Linked DNA regions of Oreochromis niloticus. The protein of the gene in region 1 purifies or fractionates together with the protein of each later gene. This does not show direct contact. Links are inferred from orthologs where the notes say so. Each region holds a gene or a part of one and is shown on either strand. Other genes may lie near its edges.

Region 1 (7,944 bases):
CGCAGCAAAAGCATCAATTTAACAGTTAGACGTTTCCGGCATTATAGCAATTTTCATCTTTGAAAGTCTTTCAGTGCCCTCCCTGCTGAAGGACTGGATTTCTGATTAACCTCGGTTTCTTTAAGTTTTTGTTTGTTGTAATGTTTTAACTTATGCCCACAATCCTTTGCTGCTGGGACTAGGTCTAAAAACACATAAACTGAAGACTGGAAGAAGATCAGATTGATCTCTGATCTCCTGGTGTGGAGAGATTTTACTTGCTTAGATGGAAAACATATTTTTACCATTACATTTTATTTATCTTTATTGGGATGCAAAGGTTTATACGAGCTGGTTCACACACCGCCACCACCAGTGCTGCGTTTCTCATGATAAACAAACACCACGTCGGAGCAAAAGCAGATCATACCTGATGGACGAACACATCCACCGGCTCTTCCAGCGGCACTCCCTCCCGGCTGGTCATGGACAGGAACCCGAAACCCATGCGGACGTTGAACCATTTACACACACCGACCCCGTGGAAAGACTCTGAATTCTCCTCGGGACTCGGTCCTTCATCCTCCTCGGTTTTACACACTCCTACGATGAAACAATTTAGCAATTACTACATAAAAGCTTTAAACCTGCGAATGTGACGATGCTTAAAAACGCAAAAGAATTTTTTGAAATTGAAAGGTTTTAAAAAACGGAAATACCCATTTTCCTTTAGGCTAGGCTACCCAATCAATAATCAATACGAATCAATAAAATGAACAAGATTAGGCTGTATTTCTCACATAATTTGAAATAAATTATAGCCAACTTTTTAATGGAAATAAACATGCGACTTTTTTCAGCGAATGCACAACGAGTTGGTGTAAAATTAGCGCAAAAAAGAAACAAAAATATTGTTCCTTCCCGTAAGATGCACGAAATTCTAAAGACAATGCAAAGCACTGATAGACACACGGACTGCACATTTTAACGTTCAAGTGTGTGAACAATGCGTTAAAACGTTCCGCTGCAATCGAGCACACAGTCCACAGGTACAACGACTCAATTAACTTGCAAAAACTTCTCAAAATGTAGCTCAAGTTACCCAACCTCGGAGCTGCTTCTTAGAAACGGAACCCATGTCTTCAGTTCTGCCTTGAGTCAAAATCAGCACCCAAGCTACAGTATCCAGTGTACAAGCCCTCAAACTGGGTAATCCTCGCAGATTGCCACTTTCATGCAAAATGCTGTGAAACGCAGAAGCTGCGCAGCGAGAGGGAAAGCGTGAGAGGGAGGTAAACAAAAGGGGGCTGGCAACCTATCCCCCTTAAACAATGAGGGGTGGGGGGTCACCGGGAGAATTTCTTTTTTTCTGTGAAGACCCCGACCCCCCCTCGCTAAACAAAAAAAAAAAACCCCAAAAAACATCTTAGACAATACATCGAAACCCTGCCCCACCAGAAAGCGCTCTAACCGTTTCCAGAGATAACTCCCTAAAACCTGCCAGCATACCTTCTGCCATGTTCGGGAGCTATGGTTTAATCTCAGTGTCCACTGCTGCCGTTTCTCCCCTTTCTTTGGACGCCTTTTAGCGCTCCTGCAGTGGCCAGCTCTGTTGGTCAATACAAATGACCATTTCCCACCCAACAAAACCCCCAAACACTCGGTCACGTCCACGTGATTCACAATTACAGTCCCCAGGGATACACTGCATATTGCGTGATGGACGAGCCCAAACATGGGAAGTGGCCAATCACTATAATACGCATAATATTCTTATACTACCTTTGTTGTTGTGATTGGCCACTACTTCTGTAACCAGTGTAACATCCTTATATTGCAACCTAAGCATCTGTTCTAGTAGTGAGTTTACACTTACTGTAAATTTATCTGTAATGTATTTTGAGGCATTTATCTGCCTAAAATTAAACTTTTATTTAAATAAAACCGGATACTAAAACAAACATTTTCCTTTAAGACTTGACGCATTTAAGCATTTCATGTAAATATATATAGTGAGGTGAAGCTGCATGTAATAGATGAAAAGGCCAGAAGTAAATGGTTTAAAGCACTCTACTGAAAGCAATTAGTTTGAGATGTTCTTTTAAAAAAATAATAATAATGGATTTGAATATCTACATTTTATATCCATGTCATATTAATTCTCACGTGCGTTGGTTTCCTTATAATCAGAGATTCGTGTAACTGCTCTCCTAGGAGGGTTTAATGGTAATCCAGATGAAATTGTGAGTGGGGGACGGTTTTTTTCCACATGCAGCAGAGGAGGAAGAGCTCAAAGGAGTCAAACAAGCTAGGTGAAGGCGTGAAGAAGAAAAAGGGAGAGAGAGAGAATAACAATAACTCGGATTTAACAAAAGCATGCAAAGCAGTTTTTGCAAAAAAAGAAAGAAAAAAGAAAAAAGAAGGCGACCTCACGAAAATAAAACGAATTCATGGATCAATAGTGATTGATCACATCACGTTAAGCGTGTTGTTGAATTGCGTCCTTGTGAAATGAGTGATGACTTAAAGACAGGAGGGGGATAAGCAAATTTATCTCAGCCTAAATTAAAAATACAAATGCAAAAACAAAATAAAAAATAAAAAAAAGATTGAAAAGATGCTGTTAACGAATTTACTGGTGATGATTATGTGTTGTTACATTTACAAAGGTTTTGGAAATGACAGATAAGATTGCAGAAAAGGAAAAAAATACACAAAGTCCGTTTACATGTCTCAACATGGACACATGGATGTATTTGAAATTGTAATTCGTTTGCTTTATGCTACACCAACAAATATAAAAGATGCGGTTTTGCATTTGCTAATTTATTTGTGTGTTTGCTAAATAAAAACGATTTATTACTGTCACTGATTTGGCCTAAATTGGCAATACTAAATAATATTAAATATACCCGTATTCTGTTGTATTTTACTTATTTATTTGTTGAAATGGAAATATGTGATTGATGACTGAGAGGAGGCTGTGGCTCCCAGTTCATCACAATTACTACAACGACCTCTTGTGGACCCGCAAAACGTGTATTTGTGGCCCCAGATATAATATATTTTAATTTAATATGGAAGCTGCACTTCATGCTCAAAGAAAGAAAGAAAAGAAAATTATTAATCAGCGGTTACGTTTATTTCTTTTAAAAAAAAAATCAACAGTATTTTTGTATTTATTTTAGTTTTTACTTTTAGTTTTGTAATTTCGTTTGAAAAATGTGTTTTTTTAGTGGCATAGGTCGAAGGCACGAGTTGTATGTTTTTGCATAATTTACTAACTAGTTTACTAACTGATTAACTGTTATTACATTTATCTTTATAGAGGTTTGGCTAATGATCACAGAGGCCATGAACATTTTTATTGCCACTTCATGCTGGCGTTCTTGTGCAAAGAAAACAATCTAATAAAGTGTCAGGACGTCAGAACTTCCAATAGTGGGGTAAGAGAGCCGTAAGTGCTACCTAATAGGATGACCGAAAGCCAGTGCTTTTGGACAATATGACTGAATGCCAGCGCAAAGAAACCTTGTTCTGACGACAGGAGGCGCTTTGTTATATTTGCTTATCCCACAAAGTGGCGACAAAGTTTATTTACAATACCCCCCCCCCCCCCCCAAAAAAAACTCTACACAACAGCAACAGTTAATACTCTTATTATTACTACTTACATTATTAATAAAAAATAAATGGAAAACAAGCCACATTTATTTTATGAGTTCCCTATCCGTCACACATCAAAATATACTTTTTGCTATTTCTCGTCTGCCAAAAATTTATTTCCGGTATTTGCCAGAAAATGATTGCGGGAATTCAAACTGTTATAAACAACTTGTTGGTCTATAATTTGTCCCAAAGTCAGACATATCTCTCGTGAATGATATCAAGTATTTTTGAGTTAGGAAGAACATTCCTATCACAAGGTAAAAGCCACAATGAATTTTTGCGACTGTTTTATCCTTTATTTATCCTGTAAAAAAAAAGAAAGAAAGAAAGAAAGAAAGAAAGAAAGAAAGAAAGAAAGAAAGAAAGAAAGAAAGAAAGAATAATCTCTGGAATTGCAAATGTCTTTTTCTTGAGAGATCCGGCCAAGAGGGCAGCAAAAATTATAAGAAATATAACATCAGGATTCTGTAAACATACTTAAGTGACCAAAAAGGGCTGGATTGAATATAATGTAGGTACAATAACGCAGTCATAAAGATACTTGTAAAAGAGGTAATTTCTTTATTTTATATATATATATATATATCAATCCTTCATAAATCCTGTTTACGACAGTCTATTTGCCAATATAAATAAAGGTATTCGATATAAAAAAAAAACCCAAACAAACAACAACAACAAAAACCAAACATACGAAATCACTTTTTGGCACAACACCACCCAGTACCCGAAGGCAGCAAAGTGGTATGTGTTCTATAAAATGACCACTAGATGTCAGTATAAGTCTCGGTTCAAAGTGCCGACTAAAATCAATAAAAATCTAATACCTCAGGTTTAACTTTGAAAACAACTTTATGAGAAAATAGTAGTTGATGTCACCTTTAAGAGACGAGTTCTAGTCTTGTGGCCTCAGACCTGTTGATAAGAATAGTAGGCTATATAACTGGGGACCTATGCATGTTGTTTTTTAGTCTTTTCTTTTTGAGTATAAACTTTAGAAACGGTGCACGAGAAGGGTCCCGCCTCTTTGGCATCCATAAGGAAACACCAGCCAACCAAGCGCGGAGGCTTTAAAGCCTCTCCGGGCATGACCAACAGAGAGCATCACCCCTGCGTTAAGACACCGTTTTTTTTTGTCGGAAGTCAGGTGGATGGAGCAGCTGATGGGCGGGGGCGGTCCACGGGAGAGGTGAAGCATCTTAGTGAGTGACAGTGTGGAAAAAAAATATGAGAGGAGAGTCTTAAGTTAGGAATAACTGGCCTGTGGCATTTAAAACAGAAAATTGTAGCTCGGGCTTCTCTTAGAGGTATAGATCCGCGTTGCAGTGATAAAAAAATAAATAAATAAAAAAATCCGCAGCTCATCGAAATGCGGAACAGAAGAAAGTTAAAAATTCCTTAATCAGATACGTCGGATAGTCCTCTCTGGTTTGAGTGCAATCATGTAGACTCGTCCTTTAGCCGATGCGACGAGAAACACTTCGGAGAGTAGCTCGTAGGTTGTGAGGTGAACTCCATCTGGCCGCAGAAGCAGGACGCAGGTTTAATTTGCGCTCTTGGTTCCGTCCGCGCCGTATGCAGCTCCTGCCACTCTAGCCAACCATGGCACGACTGAGGAGGAAAGCGTGCATAGCTCTGTTTCTTTTCACGCTGTTCATCTTTGGGACCATGATGGGACTGAGGACCCTGAAGCCCAGTGACGGCTTCTCGGACTTGGCTCCGGGCTTGGAGCTCCTGCCGATGATCGGAGGAAAGATGGACCGGCGCTCAGTGTCCAGTGATGGGACCGCTTCCCCGGGTCAAGCCCGTCCGCCGGGCAGCAACGCCAAAGCCGTGTTGTCTAACACCGGCCCCGAGGGGACCATATTTTATGATGTTCATATTTTCTACTATATGTGGTACGGCAACCCACATATGGACGGTAAATACATTCACTGGGATCACATCCTAGTCCCGCACTGGGACCCTAAGATCGCATCCAGCTACCCGAGAGGGAAACACATGCCGCCCGAGGATATCGGCTCCAGTTTCTACCCCGAACTCAATCCGTACAGCTCTCGGGATCCGGATGTGTTGGAGTCCCACATGGAGCAGATCGGAGCATCAGCAGCAGGTACTGTAAAAAAAAAAATGCAAACCGGCACCCTGAAATTCTCGGAGAGACGCACAAAAAAAGAGCTGAGTGTTGTTATTTGTGGTCAGCAGCTTTACAGAAATGTGGCTTCTGTAAGCACAAAGCTGCCTCCTTTTTGCTGAAGGGGCTCGACACATTTTTCAGCACCACACATATACTGGACAGCTCCCCACACGCTTGGTCCTCAAATATCTGCTGCTGCGCTTTCATCCTTCATTAGGTGTACATCAGAAGCAAACTAATGTTTTTAAAGATGTTTAGCTATCTATATTAAAACCGAACCTTATACTACTTTAGTATTAAAGCATCACCAAGCCCCAAAGTATCTCTGCAAGTACCTTTATCTCTTTTAAATGTCATGAACTGATAATAGTTGTGTTGCAGTCTCATCAAAGACTTGTATGGCTCCCTTAAATTCAGTACAAGTTTGTTCCCTGGTGTCAAGTAACAGCGCAGTGTGTCAGCCATCAGCAGCCAACACATGATAGGCCCTGATGTGTCTGTCCTGCGGTGCAGTAGGTTACTGTACACCAGCTTGAGTGATGAAGGCCATCTAACCCTGAAACCTGGGAATCATGGGAGGTCCAGCTCAAAGTTGCTTAGTTAAAACCATCCATTTAATTAGAGACCTCATACTCAACTGTAAATAGATCTGCTTGACTTGGTGACTGATTTCCTGCCACTAAAATGAATAGTAGTAGCCGGCTTCTTGATACACAAAGACATGTTTGGCTATTGTAATCTAATAGTCTCCACAGCTCCACAGCAAGTGGACATGAGTTTAATAAATTAGTTGTGAGTGCATATACAGTGTGCCAGTTCCTACCTCTTGCCAGGCACTGCTGTGGCTGATAGAAAACCATTTTTCAGCCAGCGTGAGTTTATGAATTTATGAGCTGTCACACACTCAAACTGTTGCCACTAAAACAAGGCATAATAAATAGTCCTAAGATGACAAGTACATATTCATTAAAAAAATTAACTGTCCTCCACAGATCAGCGGATGTACTATATTGCTGTGAACCACAAAGAGACACTAAAGGATAATCGCAGAGAAAGCAACATTACTACAAGACAACAATAACTTCACATAAACACAGTTAGCTTGAAATCCATGCATCTTTTCAGCAATCCATACAATAATATTGTTAGAGCTTCATATACATTTTGTAATTATGTTCCCATCAGAAGGTGATGGTGCTCTAAAGTGTTAATTCGTATCTTTGATCAAGTGCTTATCTCCCTCTAGGTGTTCTGGTCCTGTCCTGGTATCCTCCTGGAGTAGCTGATGACAACGGGGAACCTGCTGAGGATTTGGTACCAGCTGTACTGGATGCAGCATATAGACACAACCTCAAGGTAAGCAGTGTCAGCACATTTTATGTGTGTGTGTGTGTGTGTGTGTGTGTGTGTGTGTGAGAGAGAGAGAGATGTTTTTTAGATGAATCATCTATTTTAAACATTAACTTTTTTCCTCTTTCCTCTTCATTGACTTTTATTGAAACTCTAAAAGACAGAACAATGAAAAGGAAATCAGATAGCACACTATATAACAATACTGCCAAAGTATAACTAAAGTAAGCTCAGATCATATAGAAATATAACAGAGTTTACAGTGGTTTTGAACTCTGTTGGAAAAATTACATTTATGAAATTCATTTTAACTTTAGGACTCTAACTTCCTGGAAAACACATCAGTGACTTTGTCATTTCTGTCACTCAGCAGCTATTCTGCATGTCCTTTAAGAAATACAGGAGATGCATCTCTAGAGATTTCATTTGACCAAATCACTTACAGAGGAGATTTTTAACCTGAACAGGGCATTTTTGTGGTTGGATAAAGACTATAACAAAAAAAAAAATATGTCCGTAATTTGCGCCAGTTTGTTATGATTGGAAAAAATATATTCAGTTACCAACAGACTGCCTCTCAAAAGGAAAGCATAGTGCCAATTTAGTACTACTACACAACAGTAGCCACTGCCCAACATGCATGGATACCGTGCTCATGGATTAATGTACAGCAAATCACCATGATAAAGAATCTAGGCCAGATGGCAGCAGCTAGGCTTCTCCTAATTCCTAACAGCTGTAACAATGTCCAAAGTTATCTAATCTTAAGAATTCCTCATATCTATGATTTACACTTAGATAGTGGAGCT
Region 2 (7,397 bases), on another chromosome or scaffold:
AAAAATTAAAGAGGACCTTACGTATTTTAAATCTGCCTTCATGTCGTGTTTATGGAGGTCAAAGATGAAAAATAAAACCTATATATAATGTTCAAAAACAAGTAAAACAGCGGCTTGTGTCAGCAGGTTTCAGATCCACAGTTACATAAATCTCTGTTTGGGACAATGCAGTAATAATTGCAGAGGTCTTTTGAGTTTTAGTTTTTTTCCTAATCTGCTTTGTTCTGATTACACCTTTTGTGTATGTTTCCCCACACGCAACCCTTTGCGTGTCTGCAGTATTGTTTCCACCAACAGGAAGGAGCAGGTAATTATAAGCAGATTAGGAAGTGGTAACAATGACTTGAATGCTATTCTTCTTCATATAGGAAAACATCCCACTGGGTATTGTCATCATCAGTGCCCAGAAAAGAAAAGACATCAATCAGGACATTAATCGGGGAATAATAAAAGGAAAAAAGACCTATGGGTGCATGGCTGCAAAGGTTAGGATATATGTTGTTTGACAGCAGAGATGAAGATGAGGACTTGGTGTGGTAAAAGCAGCCTGCAAACCGTGGCAGCAACATAAGTGTCGTGTCATACTGTATTTCAAAAATAACCAGCCGTTATCAGCATCCTGTACCCTAACATTGGCAATCAGGATAAGCGGTCACACATAGCTGGTTACCAACTCACTTGGTCAACTGAGCAAGTTGTGGGGGAAATGATTGTTCGATCCCTTGCAGAATTAGTTTGCTCGTTTACAAAGAAATATCCCTAATCTTCACAGTAGTTTTAATGGAGAGACACAAAAGATAAACCAGAAAAACACACACACACACACACACACACACACATTACATAAAAGGTATGTCCCTGTACTTTTATAGTATTTGGTGAGGAAAAAACACTTTTTGGCTAGTAAAGCGGTAAGACGTTTATTATAGTTGGTCACCAGGTTGGCAACCAGATCAGGAGGGATTTTGGCCCACCTCTCTAAATCCTTGTGGTTTCTTGGCTGCCACTTGGCAACTGGAAGCTTCAGCTCCTTCCACAGATGTTCAATAGGAAAATTGGACCTTTGGTGTGGTGACGCTGTCTTGTACTTTTAGCAGAAAAGGAGCCCGAAAGCATGACGTTTCCACCTCCGTGCTTGACTGTGGGAATAGTGTTCTTTGGACGATACTCAGTATTTCTCTTGCTCCAAACATGCAGGGTTGGGTTGATGCCAGACAGCATGATTTTAGTTTCTTTTGACCACAGTACTTTCTCCCAAGGCTTCTCTGCTTCATTTAGATGTTCACTGGCAACTAGATGAGCTTGAACATTTGCCTTATTGAGCATGGGGACCTTGGTGGTGCTGCAAGACATCAGTGCACTTCAGCACAGTGTGTTATCAAAGGTCTTCTTAGTGATGGTGGTCCCAACTGCCTTCAGAGCCTCCTGTATAGTTTTAGACTGATCTTCCACTTTCCTCATGATTATCTTCATCCTATGAGGGAAAATCTTTCATGGAGGGTGACCAATGATTATTTTATATTTCTTCCATTTCCAAATATTTGCAACAGTTTTCACCTTCTCTCTAAGCTTCTTGCTGATGTTTTAGAGCTCAGTCAAGCCTTGTGCAGGCCTCCAATCTGTTCCTTACATCCTTTGGCAGCTCTTTGGTTTTGCCCATGCTGGTGGAGAGATGCTTTTTTCCGGATTATAGGTTGATATTCTCCCTCTTTCTATTAAAATGAAACTAGCAAAACAAAAAACAAAAAAAATGAGAGAATGTTCATTTCTTTGGCAACAAGCAAACTTGCAATTTCAGCAGGGGATCACATTTCCCCCACTGTAGGTGTGAGCACATTCACATGAAAGGGGTGTTATTGGCAATCACACTGATTGTTATGTCACCAGCTGAGCAGCTGATTTTACAAAGGAAGAATAAACTATGATGTTAAAAAAATATGAAGTGGTTAAAAACATAACAGAGAATCAAAATAACACAGCTACTTCAGATAAATCAGCGACATGAGAGAGAAAAAACTGTACTGTTTCGTGTTAAAAGTGCTGTATGAATTTGTGAGTGCTTTCAATGTTTTGGACAATAAGACTGAAAAAGAGCTACATATTGATAAAGTGTAGCTGACTTCAAGGCAGGAAGAAAACCTGGGGAAAATGCCAGTTGTGCGATTTAACAAATAAATCACTTATCACAACTTTATCATTCGGGAATTGTGACATTGATCAAGACTTCAGTCGGTGGAGAGTTCATACCTGTTCATCTCTAATCTGGCGTTGTGACAGAAAGTGTTTTTTACATGTAAGATGTTTGCTTGTATTGGTAAACAGACTGTAGTCAACAGGATTTACAAAGGGATTATATTTTAAATAAAGAAATTACCTGTTTTAGCATTTCTGCAGTGCTTTCAACACCATCCAGCCACGACTTCTGAGGGACAAGCTGGAGCTATCGGGAGTGGACCACCACATGTCCCAGTGGATACTATGGACTATCTCACAGAACGCCCACAGTATGTGAGGACACAGGGCTGTGTCTCTGATACACTGGTCTGCAGTATGGGGGCCCCCACAGGGAACTGTGCTGGCACCGTTCCTCTTCACCCTCTACACTGCAGACTTCTCCATCAACTCCCCACGCTGCCACCTACAGAAGTTCTCTGACGACTCTGCCATAGTTGGCCTCATCACAGGTGAGGATGACTCAGAGTACAGACAGTGGACTCTGGACTTTGTAGACTGGTGTCAGCAGAACCACCTGCTGATCAATGCCGGGAAAACCAAAGAGTTGGTGGTGGACTTCCGGAGACGCAGACCCACCACACTGACACCGGTGAACATCCAGGGAGTGGACATTGAGATAGTGGACTCTTATAGGTACCTGAGTGTTCACCTGAATAATAAACTGGACTGGAGCCACAACACTGATGCTCTTTACAGGAAGGGTCAGAGCAGACTCTACCTGCTGAGGCGGCTGAGGTCATTTGGAGTCCAGGGAGCGCTTTTAAAGATCTTCTATGACTCTGTCGTGGCATCTGTCATTTTTTACAGTGTTGTATGATGGAGCAGCAGTTTATCGGCAGCTGAGAGGAAGAGGTTGTGTAAACTTATCAGGAAAGCCAGCTCTGCTCTGGGATGCACCCTGGACCCAGTGCAGGTGGTGGGAGACAGAAGGACTCTGGCCAAAATAACATCTCTGATAGACAGAGTCTCCCACCCCATGCATGTAAATGTTGCTGAACTGCAGAGCTCCTTCAGTGACAGACTGCTGCATCCTAGATGCATGAAGGAGCGTTTCCGCAGGTCCTTCCTCCCTGCAGCTGTCAGACTGCAACTTGCACTATTTTATCAACCGATTCACACTACAACCTGGGTTTGCCTCTTATCTGTATTTCATTTTATTTTATTTAATAACTGTACAGTACTCTGTTTTTGGTAACCATTGCCCTTGATGTAAATATGTAAAAATTGTGTATGTTTCTGTTCTGTGTCTTGTGTACTGTTTGTTTGTATATGTGTCTTTCTTGCTGCTGTTACATCCAAATTTCCCCTTGTGGGACAATTAAAGGATTATTCTATTCTATTCTATTCTATTCTATTTAAAAGAATGACTCTGCATTATTGTACCTACATTATAACCAATCAAGTCCTTTTTGGTCACTTAAAATATCATTATAGAACTATAATGCTAATTTGTTGCCATTTCTGATACATTCTTGGCCAGATCCCCTCAAAGAAGACATTTTGAATGTCAACAAGACTCTTTAATGGGACAAATAAAGGTCATATAAAAGAAACTTTACCAAAAACTAATTTCAGTTTCTACCTTGTAGCAGGAATGTTGTTTGTGGCTCAAGATGACTTAATAGCTATCACAAGGGAAACATTTGGCACATATTTCACATGTTATAGGCCAACAAGTCAATGACAGCAATTAAAATACGAGTAATCACTTTTTTGGCGAATACCAGAAAGCACTTTTAGGCAGACGATCACTTAAGGTTCGCAGAATGAGTTACCGTGGCGATGTAACCCTGTAACTGATCGACCTTTTTAGTACAGGGAACGCAGGGTTCATCCTGGAGCTACTTAATATAGAATGCCATATAGGCAGGTGGAGGCAGGTGGAGGCAGGAACTGGCATCATGCCACACCTGTCTCTGGCAGGCAGGAGTAACAGGAGTGATCCTGAACGAATAAATGAATAAATAATTTTTTTTTTCAATGCCAGGGTTGAAAAGGGGGATCTTTCTTTCTTTCTTTCTTCTAGAGCCGCCATCCAAAAAAGACGTTGGGGGTACCATCTCCAGGACACTAGAGGTCACTCTCACTATTGCTTTATGTTATTTTTTTTCTTCGGAAGTTCGGAGTTTCGTGTGCGTGCAAACATGTCGCCGTTCAAGAGAAAACGTGCCGGCCAAGATTCCGTTGATTTCAAGCCGAAAAAAGGAAAACTGGTACCAGATGAAGGCAAAGGCCTAGAGGAAGTGGGAAGAGAGAAGGAACATGAGATCACGGTGCCAGCACCGATCTCTCAGGTCAGAGTTATAGCGTGTTATTGTCCACTGAACTATTTTAGCTGGTGAGCCAACTTCAGTTTACCAACTACGCGCTACTTTACTTACTTATCTATAACCTGTTCAGTGTGTTGCATCGGATAGAGGAATTCGTTATATCGGAACATTCCCAATCTGATATCGCCACAGATATAAACCAAACTGCCTTCTTAAACGTACAGTCGGCATTTAAGGCTAATTAATAGTAAAAAGAAAGAATGTTGTGCTCATAAATATGATAGTGTGTTATTACGTTCCTTCCAACAAATTGATGCGTTTTAATAAACGCATCGTTAATCCATTAAAAATACATAAATGGCTCGTGATGTTTTGTGGAGGCGGCCAGCTTATTTAAATACAGTGGCCGGGAAGGACATTTCCCTTCCACCCAGTCGCATTTTACATGTGGCTAAAGCTCGGCTACATGTGTAAAACACCAAAGGAAGAGAACTCGTAGAAGTCGACCTCGGAGGCTATTTTAAATTCGTGACTTCGTCTTCAGACTCAAGACTTGAAGGATTATGCTTGTGTTTTATAGTCGTGGAGAAGGGGTCCCCTTCATCAAAGAATCAAAAATGCAAAGGAAAAGAGAGAGGCCCACCAGCATTTTAAGAAAATGTCATCCTCGTTATCCTCACCTCAAGCCAGTGCTTTTGTACATGGAAACAACATGCTAATTTATTCCTGATGTTGTTGCTGTTACTCATAGTCACTGGCTAAACAACAATAGCATCTAATTAGAAAGTGTCCCAAAAAGGTTTCGCTGTAATAAACAGTTTGCTTACATCGGAGGGTTTATTCACAAAGCATCAAAACAGCAGCTTTTACCAAAAGAAAGGTTCAGCATATCCTCAATAACTCACCTCAGTATGGAGGTCAAAGGTCACTGACCTGTATTAGACTACTTCCACAAAGTTTGAGGGTCTCTTCCAGATTGAATAAATGTGGATCCCTCTTACCCAGAATTGACAGCTGAGGTAAACAATGGACCAACAGCCTTCCGCAGACAGGGAAAAACTTCCGGGCAGATCCATATCTGCTCTGAACCGTAGTAGAAGAACGCTGTTTCTTTGCTTTTGTTGCATTTTAAGACTGAAATTGCAAACTGGTATTTGTTTTAGTTCGATGTTCTGAGGTAAACTCTCTTTAACAGGGCAAATGGACCAACAAGGAAAGAGTTCTGATTTTCTCCTCCAGAGGGATCAACTTCAGAACCAGACACCTGATGCAGGACCTGAGGACCATGATGCCTCATGCAAAGGCAGGTTAGTGTCATATAGCATTCACCTACGGCATTGCTTCACACAAACACCTGTGTTATCTGTCTTACCTTACTAACCCACAAATCTTGTGCCTAGACACAAAAATGGACAGAAAGGATAAGCTGTTTGTCATAAACGAGGTAAGTTTGCTGTTTAATATCTCAGTTTACTCTTATATAACATATATAAAGCATCCAGGAGAATAAAGTCATTTGTTTGGCAGGTTTGTGAGATCAAAAACTGCAACAAGTGCCTCTATTTTGAGGCCAAGAAGAAGCAGGACCTCTATATGTGGTGAGAATTTCATTGGTATTACATCTCGTGTACATCAGACTCATAATAAAGCCAATCTGAACTAAGTTCAATCATGTTCTTGTCTTGTAGGATTTCAAACAGCCCCCATGGCCCTTCTGCAAAGTTCCTAGTCCAGAACAGTAAGTTATTTCTCCACTAAAGCCCTCAAATGCAGCAATCACTTGTTATATGTTGGGAAAAATAATTGCATTGCCCCTCCTCTTCGACAGTTCACACACTGGCCGAACTCAAACTGACAGGAAACTGCCTCAAAGGATCCAGGCCGCTGCTCTCGTTTGATCCTGTGAGTAGAACTGGGTCATAAAGCCAGGAGTAATAAATGAGACTTGCTGTTAGTTTATAATCAGTATGTGTTTATTCCGAATTTCTTGCACTATGAGTCTCATCAACACCACATCAGATATTTATGGTTTAGTGTAGTCAAGGAAATAGGGATGGGAATTGGTAAGAATTTAGCGATTCCGAGATCGATATCATTTATCGATTTGATTACTTATTGCAGCAATATAGAAATTACCTTCATGCAAATTAACTGCATGCTGTGGGTTAAATGTTTGTGCATGTTACACAGAACATATTAGACATATTACACAGAACACTTTTCTTCAAAGTAATGCAGTACGTTACTTAATTACTCCCTGGAAAAAATAATTCCTTACACTACTCGTTACATTACTTTCATGTTACACTATAACTGAGCTGAAATACACTATTTAACAATATAAACCTGAGGCTACAACCCCACACACCAACACAAATCCCTAATGAGAACACACATCTCTAAGATCTTTCTCTTGGAGAATACAAAGCAGACCACACAAGTACCGAAGTTGTGTTAGCAGTATAATGCAGTTTTTTCTGTCCAGTTTTCCACTTTACCATTTATCTCATTCTTTTGTGCAATAAAAATAAGTGTCCATATCCATGCTCGACTGCGTCGCCTTTTTCCTCCTCTGACAAGCGAACCGTGCAGGAACCAGTAAGCGGGATCGATAGAAAGGCAGAATAACAATTCCAAGGAATTGGACTTCTGGGAATCGGTTTTCTACATAAACTGGTTCTCGATTCCCATCCCTACAAATAGCGTCACAAAAATCTGCACAGTGTCTTCACGCTGATACAAAATTCTCGGTCTGTGATTTGAATAGTGAAGGTGTTTTTGTGTTTAAGTTGAATTTAAGAAAAAACTCCTGAGCAAGAGCTAAAGTTTTTATTTTTACTCTTTATTTTCTTTCACAGAAATTCGACAAGGAGCCTCACTATGCTTTACTGA

The links. Proteins that work in one complex are often made in the same cells at the same time.
Region 2: the proteins of lin28aa (region 1) and bxdc2 purify together in Homo sapiens (affinity purification with mass spectrometry; 3 studies listed by BioGRID and IntAct, with this or other methods). This does not show direct contact. The link is inferred for Oreochromis niloticus from reciprocal best matches to the Homo sapiens genes LIN28A and BRIX1.

Annotation. Positions count from the first base shown.
Region 1 is NC_031976.2:26,322,467-26,330,410, forward strand, and holds the start of lin28aa (protein lin-28 homolog A), read right to left. Parts: upstream 3,068-7,944; 5' UTR 1,499-3,067; coding exon of another isoform or gene 1,489-1,498; 5' UTR 1,118-1,488; coding exon 1,087-1,117; intron 583-1,086; coding exon 410-582; intron 1-409. Other genes in the region: glycoprotein endo-alpha-1,2-mannosidase-like protein, read left to right, coding at 5,251-5,761, 7,032-7,141. UniProt on the Homo sapiens protein: RNA-binding protein that inhibits processing of pre-let-7 miRNAs and regulates translation of mRNAs that control developmental timing, pluripotency and metabolism.
Region 2 is NC_031972.2:18,181,986-18,189,382, forward strand, and holds the start of bxdc2 (ribosome biogenesis protein BRX1 homolog), read left to right. Parts: upstream 1-4,335; 5' UTR 4,336-4,379; coding exon 4,380-4,529; intron 4,530-5,700; coding exon 5,701-5,812; intron 5,813-5,905; coding exon 5,906-5,949; intron 5,950-6,032; coding exon 6,033-6,103; intron 6,104-6,193; coding exon 6,194-6,243; intron 6,244-6,333; coding exon 6,334-6,407; intron 6,408-7,363; coding exon 7,364-7,397. UniProt on the Homo sapiens protein: Required for biogenesis of the 60S ribosomal subunit.